Linked DNA regions of Mytilus edulis. The protein of the gene in region 2 purifies or fractionates together with the protein of the main gene of each other region. This does not show direct contact. Links are inferred from orthologs where the notes say so. Each region holds a gene or a part of one and is shown on either strand. Other genes may lie near its edges.

Region 1 (6,957 bases), about 40 Mb from region 2:
TAGATGGAATAAGCTCGTAAACTTGGCCTGCTGCAATTCAAATCTTGTTTATGGTATTTTATTGCTATAATTTCATGTCATTTGATAGGGTACATCTTAAATATGAATTATCACCATATATGTTAATTGTATGTTTAAAATACATTATTTTCCTTCTTCAAATTCGTTATATTTTACTTTGAAGTTTTTCAATTGTTAAAGTTTATGTTAAAACTTGTGTTTAGGAGGCTAATATAATCTCCAAGAGAGTTGTTAAATTCATCGTAACAATTCTGTCAACAACAGCGTTACCCTAACAACACTTGTAAACAACTGGACACTGGATGATAACTTGGTTCTTCTTTGAAGAATTTGATGATGTTCCCATCGACTTTTTATATAATATGGTTACTAGCAAGAGCAGGATTGTTTTTTGTTGTTTATATGGTAAACGTTACTAGCAAGAAAATTCTGTTTTTCAGACCGCCTTGGTGGATGCATTTTTTGGCCTTTTATAGCAGACTATACAGTATATGCTTTGCTCATTGTTGAGGGCCGTACTGTGAACTATAGTTTACTGTGTCATTTTGGTCTCTTGTGGAGAGTTGTCTCATTGGCAATCATACCACATCTACTCTTTTTTAGATATATATATATTTGGTTATTAACAAGAACAGAATTGGGTTTTGTCAGACCGCATCGGTGGTGTATATATGGTTACAAGCAAGAACAGGATTTTTTCAGACCGCCTTGGTGGTTAATATATGGTTACTAGCAAGAACAGTTTTTTTTCATATCGCTCGCTGTGTGATCGACTCAAGTGCTGGATAATATGGGTTCAAACCTCGGCCTGGTCAAATATGGGGACAGTATACAGAAACTAACGACTTGAAATTGGTATGTGCTGCTTCTCGGCCAAACATGGCAAGAAGTGGTTGGGGCAAATAAAATTGAGAAAGGAAATGGGGAATGTGTCAAAGCGACAACATCCCGGCCATAGAGCAGACAACAGCCGAAGGCCACCAATGGGTCTTCAATGTAGCCAGAAACTCCCGCACCCGGTGGCGTCCTTACGTGTCAATGTTTTTGAAGTATAATGACATATATATTCAGCTGTTATGACACCTTCGGTTTCTTGTACCAGAGTATTATTCTTTAAAAAAGTGTTTCTCAAAAACATTTCTCATCACACAAATATTTATACAGGTAGATGTTGACTGGCTGTACAGCCCTTGCCGTTACGGTCGGCTGGTGATTGAGGACGTCTTCCTTTCTTTTAGATTTTTAAGTGACAGATAACAATTGGTCTAGATATTTCATTAAATGTGTAAATTTTGAGAGTAGTATTAAATTCACGTGTAAATTCATGTAGTGTAGCGAGAAAAAAGTCTGGTCACCAAACTTTTTATTACATTTTGGATAAGAAGCATGATTAAAACTTTATCCCCCCCCCCCCCCCCCCAATTCACCTTTAAAAGAAGAAATCGAATACTCTGCAAAAAATGAAAAACAATATCATATGATAATTTTGTAAAAAAAAAAAAGGCACAAATTCATAAATGTGACTGATGTTTTATTACCATGCATACATATCGAACAGTTTAGAAAAAACAACAATATTGGTCAGCAAACGATACAACAGAAATAGAAAGGACGGAAAAATAATAAATAAAACAAGAATGTGTCCTCAGTACACGAATGCCCCACTCGCACTATCATTTTCTATGTTCAGTGGACCGTGAAATTGGGGTAAAATCTCTAATTTGGCATTAAAATTAGAATGATCATATCATAGGGAACATGTGTACCAAGTTTGAAGTCGATTGGACTTCAACTTCATCAAAAACTACCTCGACCAAAAACTTTAACCTGAAGCGGGACAGACGGACGAACGAACGAACGGACGGACGAACGAACGAACGAACGAACGAACGAACGAACGAACGGACGGACGAACGGACGGACGGACGGACGAACGGACGCACAGACCAGAAAACATAATGCCCCTCTACTATCGTAGGTGGGGCATAAAAAGCGAAGGAATAGTTTGTAGTGAACATGGGATGTTAATGTAGGTAGATGTGGTTGACTGGAGAAAAAAATAATGGTTTATGTACAGCCAAAATACATGTTTTTCTATTTTTGGAAAAGAGAGACGAAAGATATTAAAGGGATATTCCAACAAAAACAGACATTACATTTTTGGTATAATTGTGTTTTCGTAATTCGTTCTTTCAGAAAAACAGAATCACCTAACAAAACACACGATTTACAACATGGGACTGGTGTTGCAAAGAATACAGGTTTAATTAAGCATATAGTATGCGATTGGAAATTTATGTGTTTTTCCTTTTTGAAAAATATAATAAATGAAGAAGATTTGTTGTTTCCGTAATTCCGTAATTCAGTATAAAATACATGTATATACAAAACATAATCATTGGATGGACAAGTGTCTCATTGGCATCCATACCACATCTTTTTATATCTGTCGTTGTTCCTTTTTCCTTCTTTTTTGCTGTACATGTTAAAACTTTATTCAAAAAGAGGGACAGTCAAACTCATAAATCGGAAATAAACCGACAACGCCATGGCTAAAAATGAAGAAAAAGACAAACAGACAAACAATAGTACATATGACACAAGATATGAAACTAAAGAATAAGCAACACGAATCCAACCAAAAACTGGAAATGATCTAATGTGCTCCAGGAGGGTAAGCAGATCCTGCTCCACATGTGGCACCCGTCTTGTTGCTCATGTTATAACCGTGAAATCCGGCAAATAGTCTAATTCGGTAGGTCACTTGATATCACATATTCTGATTATTACAACGATGTTGTTTATATGTAGTGTGTAGAGCCCGTAAAATTAGACACGATCCATGTTTTACTTTTTGATATTTCGAATTCGCCGCGTTTTAAATATTGTGGTAAAATCTTTCGATGAAACATTGACGTTTTTTTTTAATTATCAGAAAATAACTAAATAGAATGTATTGTTATAACATTTTACATTTGTGTCTGTTCCTCTGCAGTTGTTGTTGGTTGCTGTCTGTCATATTAATAGTCTTTCGTTTATTATTTCAGCATAAATCAGGCCTTGTGCTTCGAAGGATCAATAATGATGAACAAGAACTCATTCTGAACTCGAACTTATACTGTGCCTAATATTTCCGTTGACTGCTTACGCAAAAAGATGAAGACAGAAGAGTGGGATCTACGGCTGTCAAAGGAGGTCTTTACTTTACTCAATTTTGCCTACATGCGTACGGAAAAAGATGTAAAATTCAGTGAAACTCTGAATCAATTTTAAATATGTCTTGAGTATAAAAAAAGGCAAGTAAAAACCAACACTCGCAAAAGGAGGTAGAACCTCCAGGGATATATCCGATGGAGTTATCAAAGAGTTTCCGTTTTTGGAGGAGTTGTGCAATCCAATGAGTATTTATTGAAAATTTGGCTAGAGCAAAAATGCCACACTGTTTAATACGGTATAGAAATTTCGATGAGATCTGCACAGGCACTCGTGTTAGAAAAAAATATTCCTATATGTGTTATATAAAGGTATATACTAAGATTTTTTTCTAAGACGAGTTCCTGTTTCTGGCTGCACTGAATACTAGCAAGGAATTGTATATTTAATATACAATTCCTTGATACTAGTCTTTCCAAATAAATCGACATCTTGATATTGACACTACTGCAATATTATGTTCATTTTTACCATTTTCTTCGTGATATTGTTATAACAATTTTTTACCGACGCATAGCAAATTAAAACAGTTAGAAATTAAAAAAAACATGCAGTAGTCGGGATCATGTAATGGGTTTTAGGTACAAACTGGTTTCCCAAAAATGTTATCTATCTATTATGGGTATAAAAAAGGCGAAATTCAATACCAGATAAGCCATGGCAGAAAAGTTTGATTTGCAAATAAAACGGGAACTCTTAGACTCGTCATTTGACGGATACAAACTGTCGTTAGACAGTCTGCCCACATACAGCCTTCAATTTGGAATTGGTAAATTGCTTGATGATTTTTTTGTATAGTACATTTTGATCGGTGAAGTGTACTTTGTAGCCCTGCTCATGCTGAGCAAGCTTATATACGACGTACGTCACGTAGCCTCTTTGAAAAGCGCCACAGCAAAATTAGAAATACCATTTTAAGCCGCCAAGGATTTGTATACTACTATACTAATCCCAACCCAGTAGAAAAGGGGGTAGGTGAGTTCGAATCTGGGTTCGTTCGCCCTGAAACATCCCAGTCCCAGAAAAAAAATAAATCAGCGCTAGCCTTGACAGACGTCATAATTATTTTGACTACTGTTCGCCCTTATACCTGTTCGCCCAGGGTCCATTCGCCTTGATTTTTATTTTTTTCTAATTAAGGTTCATCATAACAAACGGACAAATATGGCTGTATTTACATGCCAAAAATTACTCTGAGTACAGACCTACCTGTGAAGTTGGAAAAGTTTTAATGCCTGGCACCCACTAGATATATAAAAGTTAAATGCATTTTGTGTTAAAGAAAGATAAAATCTTTTTTGGTTTTTGATGGGCATTTTTTTTTCCTTCATGCAAAAGTCATATAATTTTAAGTATTTTGAACAAAATATGTTGAAGTTTGTTGAAAAATTGAGAGAATATTTATATTGCCGTAATCAATTTGTCTCATTTACAAATCAACTTAGTTACAAATTGATCAAGTATGAAACGACATGCATTCCTGTAAAATTTGACATGACAATTTATTTTTTAACCCTCTTGTTGCCAGCTGTTTTTCAGGGTTTCATTTCATATTTGACGGAAAATACGACCGCTCGACGTTTGTGACGTGACATGCCAAACAATGACGTCATTCTGTATATGACATCATGCTGTAATGACAGTTACATTTTAGAGCCATTGTAGAATCATATTACACTTTTTAATTTTGGTTTTTTTATTTTGAAAGAGGTACAGCAATGATGAGAAGCTTGCATAAATTAAAACATGGACACATGTGTCCCTCCAGCACAGTTGGTGTGGACACATGTGTCACTCCGGCACCAAGAGGGTTAAGAAACTGAAAGATTGACATCATAATGAAAATGGAATTGTTGCTTGACGTCAGCATACATAAACAAGTTCAATCTGAAAATACTACTAAAGGAAGAGACTGTTTTCATTGAGCCATAACTTCTCTGAAACCATACAAAGTGATAAGACGTATAAATGAATTGTTTTGTACTTTCCAAATTATGCTCTTTGACACAATCTTTTTTCCACAGAACACTCCAATTTTTATCCAAATTCAAAGACCGTTATTGATTCTTGACTGAACTTTTTCCCACATGCTCAGTCAACATACTGCTGTGAAAACTATTTTTAACACTTGTTCATTTGTACCATGATTTCGTGGGCATCTGCTAGTAAAAATTAACTGTAAGAATAAAAAGACTTGTCTTTTTTTGTTTCATCCAGTTCTCTGTAAAATAAGATTTATTGCATTCTTCAACTAAATTCTGAGTGATATAAATAAAAGAATTAGAGTAATGATTATTTGTAACAATTCTTCCAGGTATAGAGAAGGTGGACCTTACAGACGGTCAGTATTCCTACCATCATGCTAAGATCCTTGGACAACACAATCATTTAGCTTTAGATCCTTGGAATCAGCAGACAGTATATTATATAGATCAGCTATGGCGCATCAACAAAGCCTTCATTGCAGTAAGTAAATGGTTACATTTGTTTTAACTTTTTTATTACAAATTATTTTAATTAGAAGTCTGAGGGTAATGTTTAGGAGTTTATAAGAACATGTGAGACTTTGATCTGGCTCAAAGGGACCATGAAAGTATAAAGAAAGTGTGCTTTCTTGAAATCATAATAACTTATCTAACATTTTTGTCAATTCTTCAAAAATAACAATTATAATCATGATGATAGATACACACAATAATTTTCGATTTAAATATATACATATGTAATCAGGGGTTCAAATTAGTGTTGGTCGAATGTTGGAGACCTGTCTTTTCTAGAAGGGGACTTTTCATTTTTGAATAACAAGTCAAGGACCTACAATTCTTTACTCTGATATACAGGAACACTGAATTTCTTATGGAGGACCTTTCAAATGGTCCTGGACCTTTCACTATTTAATGCAAATTTGAACCTCTTATAGTATGGACATAAACATGATGAAGGGAACTGATGAAGCCCCTCTCAGAATCAATCAGGAAAAAAGAATGTTTTAATGTAACCAAGCCAATATTGAAAAGTTTATGCACTTATTCAGTATTCTGTCAAATGAATAATTGTAAATGTGACCATATAGTGATATAATCTTCTTGCAGTTATGTTACATAAAGTAATCAGCAAACAATCTATCAATAAAGAATAACTCATTATACATGTATCTTCTTCATACTTATTATTAATGTGGTACATGAAGGTGTTATTAATTTGCTAGGAAGGTTTATGGTAATTTAAATTAACCCTGATACATAGATATAAGATGTGGTATGAGTGCCAATGAGACAACTCTCCATCCAGGCATCCAAGTCACAATTTGTAAAAGTTAACCATTATGATTATAGGTCGAAGCAAGCTATAAAGGGCCCAAAAATGAGTAGCGTAAAATCGTTCAAGTGGGAAAACCAACAGTCTAATCTATATAAAAACAAGAAACAAAAAGCACTTTATATGAACCATATCAACAAACGACAGTCATTGAACATCAGGTTCTGACTACTAACAGGTGCAAACAAATGCTATGGGTTTAAACATTTCAGTAAGTAACAACCTTCATGATTGAATATAACATTATGTTTATAGTAAAAGCTTCATTGTAATGGTAATATATACAACTGAATTAAAATTTGATAATTGTTCCAATTCAATTGCATAAACACTTTCAAAAAAAAAATTCATTTATTGTTTTAGGACATGCAATTGAACCAGACTGAATCCATTCTTCAAATCCCA
Region 2 (7,052 bases):
CGGTACTTGTCTATCCCAAATTCATGTATTTGGTTTTGATGTTATATATATATGTTATATTTGTTATTCTCGTGGGATTTTGTCTATATGTGTTACATTTTAGTGTTATGTCGTTGTTCTCCTTTTATATTTAATGCGTTTCCCTCGGTTTTAGTTTGTTATCCCGATTTTGTTTTTTGTCCATGGATTTATGAGTTTTGAACAGCGGTATACTACTGTTGCCTTTATTTGGTAAACAGGAAGTTGTTGAGTGATGAATCTGAAAACACATCACATGGTATAGCTGACTTAAATAAACCCTGAAACCAAATTTCAGAAACCATGGTATTGTAGTTCCTGATAAAGATGCCACGAAAAATATTCATGGGACATACGGACAGACAGAGGTAAAACAGTATACCCTGACTTTTTCAAAGTGGGGTACAATAATTAAAGCAGGGGTTGATAAATATATAGTATAGAGTAGACAAGATGTCTTGAAAATGAAGCTGATTCTTCTCTCATCAAAATTTGTCATCTTAAACATTTTCTTACCTTAAAATTTCTTTGACAATTCAATTTTGTCTAACTATTTTGGCAAAAATTCAATTCATATCTTTTCAAATGGACTAGTACAGGCCGTTTAACTTACACGATTCATTGCTTCAGAGCTAATTGTATAAAATTTCGAAGTACAAGTGGAAATAAGAGCTTTATTGTTAATTTTGCAGTAAAATAAGGGGAGGTAATGCAAAACTTCTCAGTTTTTAAGAAAGTTTGATTTGGTCAGGTGCATTTTGGATTTTTGATAATGGCAATGAAACTGTTCATCAAAAGTGTCCATTTAAATAAAACCAAAACAATTAAATTGTAAGGGAATCATGACGGACATATTATTGTATTAAAAGTCACACGTTTAACCAACTGAATTAACATGCAAGCCCATAGTACAATCTTATAACTTTTTGGTCTTTTCTTTTGTATGAAGCTTAACAAAACTGAAATTTGAATTAATGGCATCCCAATAAATGTTAGTTCAAGACAAGATTTTTATCTACAAATAAGTCAACATGGTACATTGAAATCTCTGTGAATATTAACATTATTGTAATACCATATGTTTTAAACCTTCTAAGTGCAATAAGTGAATGTCAGAAACATTCCCCCTTCCCCACCAATTTAACTATTAAATTTTATTTATGCAAAAATGGAATTTTAGTGTGTACACTCTTTTAACTATTAACAATAGATTAATCTTTTTTACCTACCTGCATATTTCTGGTGGAAAAGTCTTGAGTTGATTATTATTTATATTCAAGAATGTCAAGTTTCTCAGATGTGCTGAAAATAAACTAACAATCAATATCAAAAATATATACATTAACTGAATAAATTATACACAACATGTACCATAAGCTACTTCACGTAATATACACATATATATGTAAAAATGCTAACATGAGTAACAAAGTATCGAAAGTTAATAGAAGAAATTTATTGCATAATTTTCGAAACTGTTCAGACAAATTCTGTACAATCTAATGCAGGTTTAACACATTAAAAAAACATTACAATATAATAAGTTAAACAATCATGTAAACACTAGAACTAACTCTTTTGCTGCAATATTCTGTAAAAATGCATTTGCAACAATCTTACCCTTATTTACTAAACATGTACAGTGGCACTCTTCAACAACAGTATTGTTAAGACTTACATTACATATCAATTATATCATATAAAACTTGATAATCAGTAAATAACACTTTAAAAAGATGAACAATACATACTTAGGACTTTGGGGTTCAGATTCTTTAGGTTATTGTTAAACAGATGTAATTTCTCCAACATAGTGAGATACTCCAAAACTTCTGGTAAGTCTTCAAGTTCATTGTTTCCACAGTTCAGTATCTGTAACTATAAAACAAAAAGATATTTTGTTATTACATGTGGCCTTATTAAAATAAGAAAGAACAGGTCTTGTCACAATACATATGCTATATGATGTTACAGATTGGTTAATGTCTACTGAACTTTGGTCAGCCTGTATAGCTTATTCATTAAAAACAGCTCAAGATGTGTCTTTGTAAAACCTCGGTTCCCTATCATATTATAATATTCTAATTAAGGAAAGGGAATTATCTGATGCATTGTATTGGTACATAGATGGTACATTTGTATTACAAATTAGTATCTGATACCTAAAACATAATACAAAAGATAAACTGTAAGGCCATAACATACAAATGTACCTGTTTCAGGGGAGATAAATAGCATCTTAATTTTCCACTTTTACATTTTGAGTGTTACCTATTTTTTTGACTTATAGAATAAATTTTTTTTTACTTAGTCATAAAAATTGAATTTAATCAGATTCAAATTAAAGGTCCAAGTTGTCATTTTCATAAAATCTTGTCAAAAAAGGAGTAAATACTCTCCCGTTATTCTTTGAATTACTGGGAGTAAACTAGTCTGCCATTCCATCTTAATCTCAGCACAGAAAGGAACAGGTTGGGGTCATTGTCACATTGACAATAACTCCAACCCCGTTTATTAATTTGATGAATCTTACAAACATATTACAAATACTACAATTCACCATGAAATTGACCAATTATATTAATAGGAACTTGACCTCAAATGTTAATACTGCGATGCCACACAATAAATAAGTAGCTGTTAATTAACACTATGGTGGCTGAACAGATAAATGCTGCACGAGTGCACATGTGTTATCATATTCTGAATCCGGGTCCGTTCGCGCCCATTCACGTTCGCACCCACTCATGTTCGCCCCCTTTCACTTTCGCACCCTACATGTTTCCACCCAAAAACCGTTCGCACCCTACATGTTCACGCCCAATTTTAATTGGTTTTGTGTTTAATAACTTTGTAATCAAGTTTTGGCAAGTATTATTCTTATAAGTATAATTGTTTTCATTGTCTCAGAATAAAGTGAGACAGCATTTTTCTTTTGTGTTGAAATGTTTTGGATAGTGTATTGTTAAAAAAAAAATATTCCTTTCTATATAAAGTGGGATTCTGTCAACGTTTTATTTTGTGTTGAATAACTCTTAATCATGTTTTGGTTTATGTATTGCTATAACTTTATTCAATGACTTGTTTCAAAATGAAGTGAGATTCTGACTACGTTTTTATTTTTTGTGTGTTGAATAAATTTTATCATGTTTTGGTTATAATAGTGTATTGCTATATTTTATTGTTTCATTGTTTCAGATCAAAGGGACCAAGCTGTTAAAAACAATTATCTTTTGTGTTTTTCATTTAAAATCTTCAAATGTTTACTCATACCAAGCTATAAATACATTCAGTATTTACACGAAAGCAATTAAAAACAACAATCATGATTTTCCAATTATTCAACTGGAATTTGAATTAAAATTGGGCGCGAACGTGTAGAGTGCGAACGTGTAGGGTGCGAAAGTATATTGGGCGCGAACGGACCTGATACCTCATATTCTCGACAAACTGAGCCGGTATTTTTCATTTACATTAATACTCAGTATGGATATGCTAATTTCTTTTCTGAGTTGTTACACCTGAATAAGAAACATTAACTCTGATAACAAATTTGTTTACAGAATTTAAAATTATATTTTATGGGAAATATCAACCTGAAACAAATGGCTAAGTTCTATAGGTAAATCCTTCAATTTATTCCCTCTCAACTGCAAGTGTACAACACAGTCTAATTTTCCAATGGCCCTTGGAACCTTGTCAAGTTTCTTATTACACAAATTCAACGTTTTTGGTTTCCCTTTCAATGCACGGACTAGCAAGGTGTCCGCCATATTGACGCTTTCTTGTTGCTAACTTTTAAGGTGTGTTCGAAAAACATCTATTTGTAAATATAAAATAAATGTTTCTTTATTCCATTTTTAAGATATTGAAAGACTATGTAGGTATATGCTTTAAAATATTCTGATATGAATACTCTCAATAATTCTACGATAAAGGAAAAAAATAATAAACATTGAATATTTATGATATTTACAGAAATTTTTTCGATCGCACCTTATCATTTTCGTGGTTTCTTAAATTGGAGAGTGTTTCCGGTTAAAGTTTCAAAACGTTTTTTGCATGATTTACTATTTATGTTTCAAAGTTGGTGTTGTTAGATAAAACCTGCTAAATATGCCTATGAGATATATTTCCAATTAATACTTCCCCAGTGTAATAAGGATAAACACGTGTCAAGTCATAAAACATCTAAAATATTTAGCAAAACCACATCATGGGACATGATCTGATGATGTTTGATTTGTACAAGTAATTGTAAATCATGCCTCTTACTTCTACAGTGCAGGTGTAAAAAAACTTAATTTCACAATGACAAGTTTCGTAGATCCAGATGACGATCCTGAATTACACAGATTGGAGGGTTCATTGGGCAAAGAAAAGGGTGGACTTGTTATAATGAAAAAGAAATCAGAACATGGAGACTTTCAATTCAAGAAACCATCACTTCCCAAGGTATCGCTATTGGGACTTGATAAATTGGCAGCAGAAAAAAGGAAATTAGATATCAAAAGTGAAAATACAACAAAAAGATCAAAGGTGACATCATATACAGACAGCAAAGATGAAAGTGATAGTAGTGACTCAAGTAGTGATGAAGAAGATAATAAATTGTCAAAGCATAAAAGTCGTAAAGAAAGGTGGGTTTAATTTACACACATCAAAATCGAATAAGATAATAGAGGATGATAGTATAAGGCAGGGTAATCTCATAAAGGAGACAGGGTCACTCAGTCACCATCAGCTAATCCTTTAGCAAGATTTCTTTACGACTTTTATATTTATCCTGTATCATCATATTCATGCATATAAACATTGGATTGTAAACAAAGAAATGCAATCTTCAGGCAGTGTTTAAGTGTAGTTAAATTTAAGATAATAAATTGTCAAAGCATAAAAGTTGTAAAGAAAGGTGGGTTTAATTTACACACATTAAAATCGGATAAGATAATAGAGGATGATAGTATAAGGCAGGGTAATCTCATAAAGGAGACAGGGTCACTCAGTCACCATCAGCTAATCCTTTAGCAAGATTTCTTTACAACTTTTATATTTATCCTGTATCATCATATTTAAAACATGCTTATATATCATGTATATGCATAAAACAAGTTATCTATTCTTTATTATTTTGATAGTTTGAAATTGTATTTTTTAAAGGCAGGGAAATGCACACTTTTCTGATAGTTTTCAAAGTTTTCCTTTAGTTATTCTGGTTGTGTATATTAACCCTAAATTCTTTGCCCAAATATTGATAACCAAGACGTGAAATAAAGTCTGAAGAATTTTTGAATTTGTAAGAATAAAACTATCTATATAGCTAGCACTCACATATTTAAAAAAATACAAATTGTCATGATTGTTATTTATAGTTCAGGTCTTGACAATAACGCTTGCCCTATTGTCTGTTACCAGAGTAAAAAAAGGTCGGTCAAGTTAAAGCTATATCAACCTTGTCGACAAGTAAAATTATTTTGCAGAAAAAATCAATTTAATCAAACTTTGATGAACAAAGTAGTTGTAAACAAAAAACAAAAAAAAAAGAAGATAAAAACAAGTACATGTATTAATTTGACATGTTTACTTGCAATCGACAATAAAAACTGGTTCTTTGTCAGGTACTATTTGACAGGTAAAAGGCATACTATTCTGATCCAATGGACCAAATCAGTATGCGCTTTGTAGATGAGGTAACTTTACAAGACAGTTCGTCACCAGCTTGGAATTAAGACATTCAGCCCCAATTTTAATAGACAGTTTGGCACTGTATGAGACATGATTAATAGACAGTTCGGGACCAAGACCTTGTTTCCCTACAATTTTCTGTTGCATTATAATAATTACCATACCAGTAATTTTTTTAACAAAATTATTTTAAAAGTAGAAATGAATTTATTGACCATAAGATTTACAAAATCATATTTGACCATATGTAGAAAAAACAATACTTGGTGACCTACAGTTGTTAATTTCTGTGTCATTTGGTCTCTTGCAGAGAGTTGTCTGATTAGCAATCATACCTTATCTTTTTTTTTAGCTAACCTGGCGTTCGTCAACCGTAGTCGACGTCGTCCGTCGTCGTTAACTTTTACAAAAATCTTCTCCTCTGAAACTACTGGGCAAATTTAACCAAACTTGGCCACAATCATCATTGGGGTATCTAGTTTAAAAATTGTGTCCCGTGACCCGGCCAACCAACCAAGATGGCCCCCATGTCTAAAAATAGAACATAGGGGTAAAATGTAGATTTTGGCTTATAACTCTGAAACCAAAGCATTTAGAGCAAATCTGACATGGGGGTTAAATTGTTTATCAAGTGAAGATCTATCTGCTCTGAAATTTTCAGATGAATCAGACAACCGGTTGTTGGGTTGCTGCCCCCCAATTGGTAATTTTCAAAGAAATTTTGCCGTTTTTGGTTATTATCTTGAATACTATTATAGATAGAGATAAACTGTAAACAGCATTAATGTTCAGCAAAGTACGATCTACAAATAAGTCAACATGACCAAAATGGTCAGTTGACCCCTTAAGGAGTTATTGCCCTTTATAGTCATTTTTTTACCAATTTTTCATAAATTTTTGTATCTTTTACAAAAATCTTCTCCTCTGAAACTACAGGGCCAAATTTAACCAAACTTGGCCACAATCATCATTGGGGTATTTAGTTTAAAAAATGTGTGCGGTGACCTAGCCAACCAACCAAGATGGCCACCATGGCTAAAAATAGAACATAGGGGTAAAATGTAGATTTTGGCTTATAACTCTGAAACAAAAGCATTTAGAGCAAATCTGACAGGGTTAAATTGTTTATTAAGTCAATATCTATCTGCCCTGAAATTCTCAGATGAATCAGACAACCGGTTGTTGGGTTGCTGCCCCCCAATTGGTAATTTTCAAAGAAATTTTGCCGTTTTTGGTTATTATCTTGAATACTATTATAGATAGAGATAAACTGTAAACAGCATTAATGTTCAGCAAAGTACGATCTACAAATAAGTCAAACATGACCAAAATGGTCAGTTGACCCCTTA

What was found. The genes of interacting proteins can lie anywhere in the genome.
Region 1: the proteins of pre-mRNA-splicing factor ATP-dependent RNA helicase PRP16-like (region 2) and nudC domain-containing protein 1-like purify together in Homo sapiens (co-immunoprecipitation; 3 studies listed by BioGRID and IntAct, with this or other methods). This does not show direct contact. The link is inferred for Mytilus edulis from reciprocal best matches to the Homo sapiens genes DHX38 and NUDCD1.

What each region holds. Positions count from the first base shown.
Region 1 is NC_092348.1:48,749,540-48,756,496, forward strand, and holds the start of nudC domain-containing protein 1-like, read left to right. Parts: upstream 1-3,813; 5' UTR 3,814-3,891; coding exon 3,892-4,003; intron 4,004-5,548; coding exon 5,549-5,700; intron 5,701-6,915; coding exon 6,916-6,957.
Region 2 is NC_092348.1:89,210,437-89,217,488, forward strand, and holds the start of pre-mRNA-splicing factor ATP-dependent RNA helicase PRP16-like, read left to right. Parts: upstream 1-4,039; 5' UTR 4,040-4,329; coding exon 4,330-4,658; intron 4,659-7,052. Other genes in the region: leucine-rich repeat-containing protein 69-like, read right to left, coding at 1,248-1,320, 1,770-1,896, 3,615-3,791. UniProt on the Homo sapiens protein: Probable ATP-binding RNA helicase. Involved in pre-mRNA splicing as component of the spliceosome.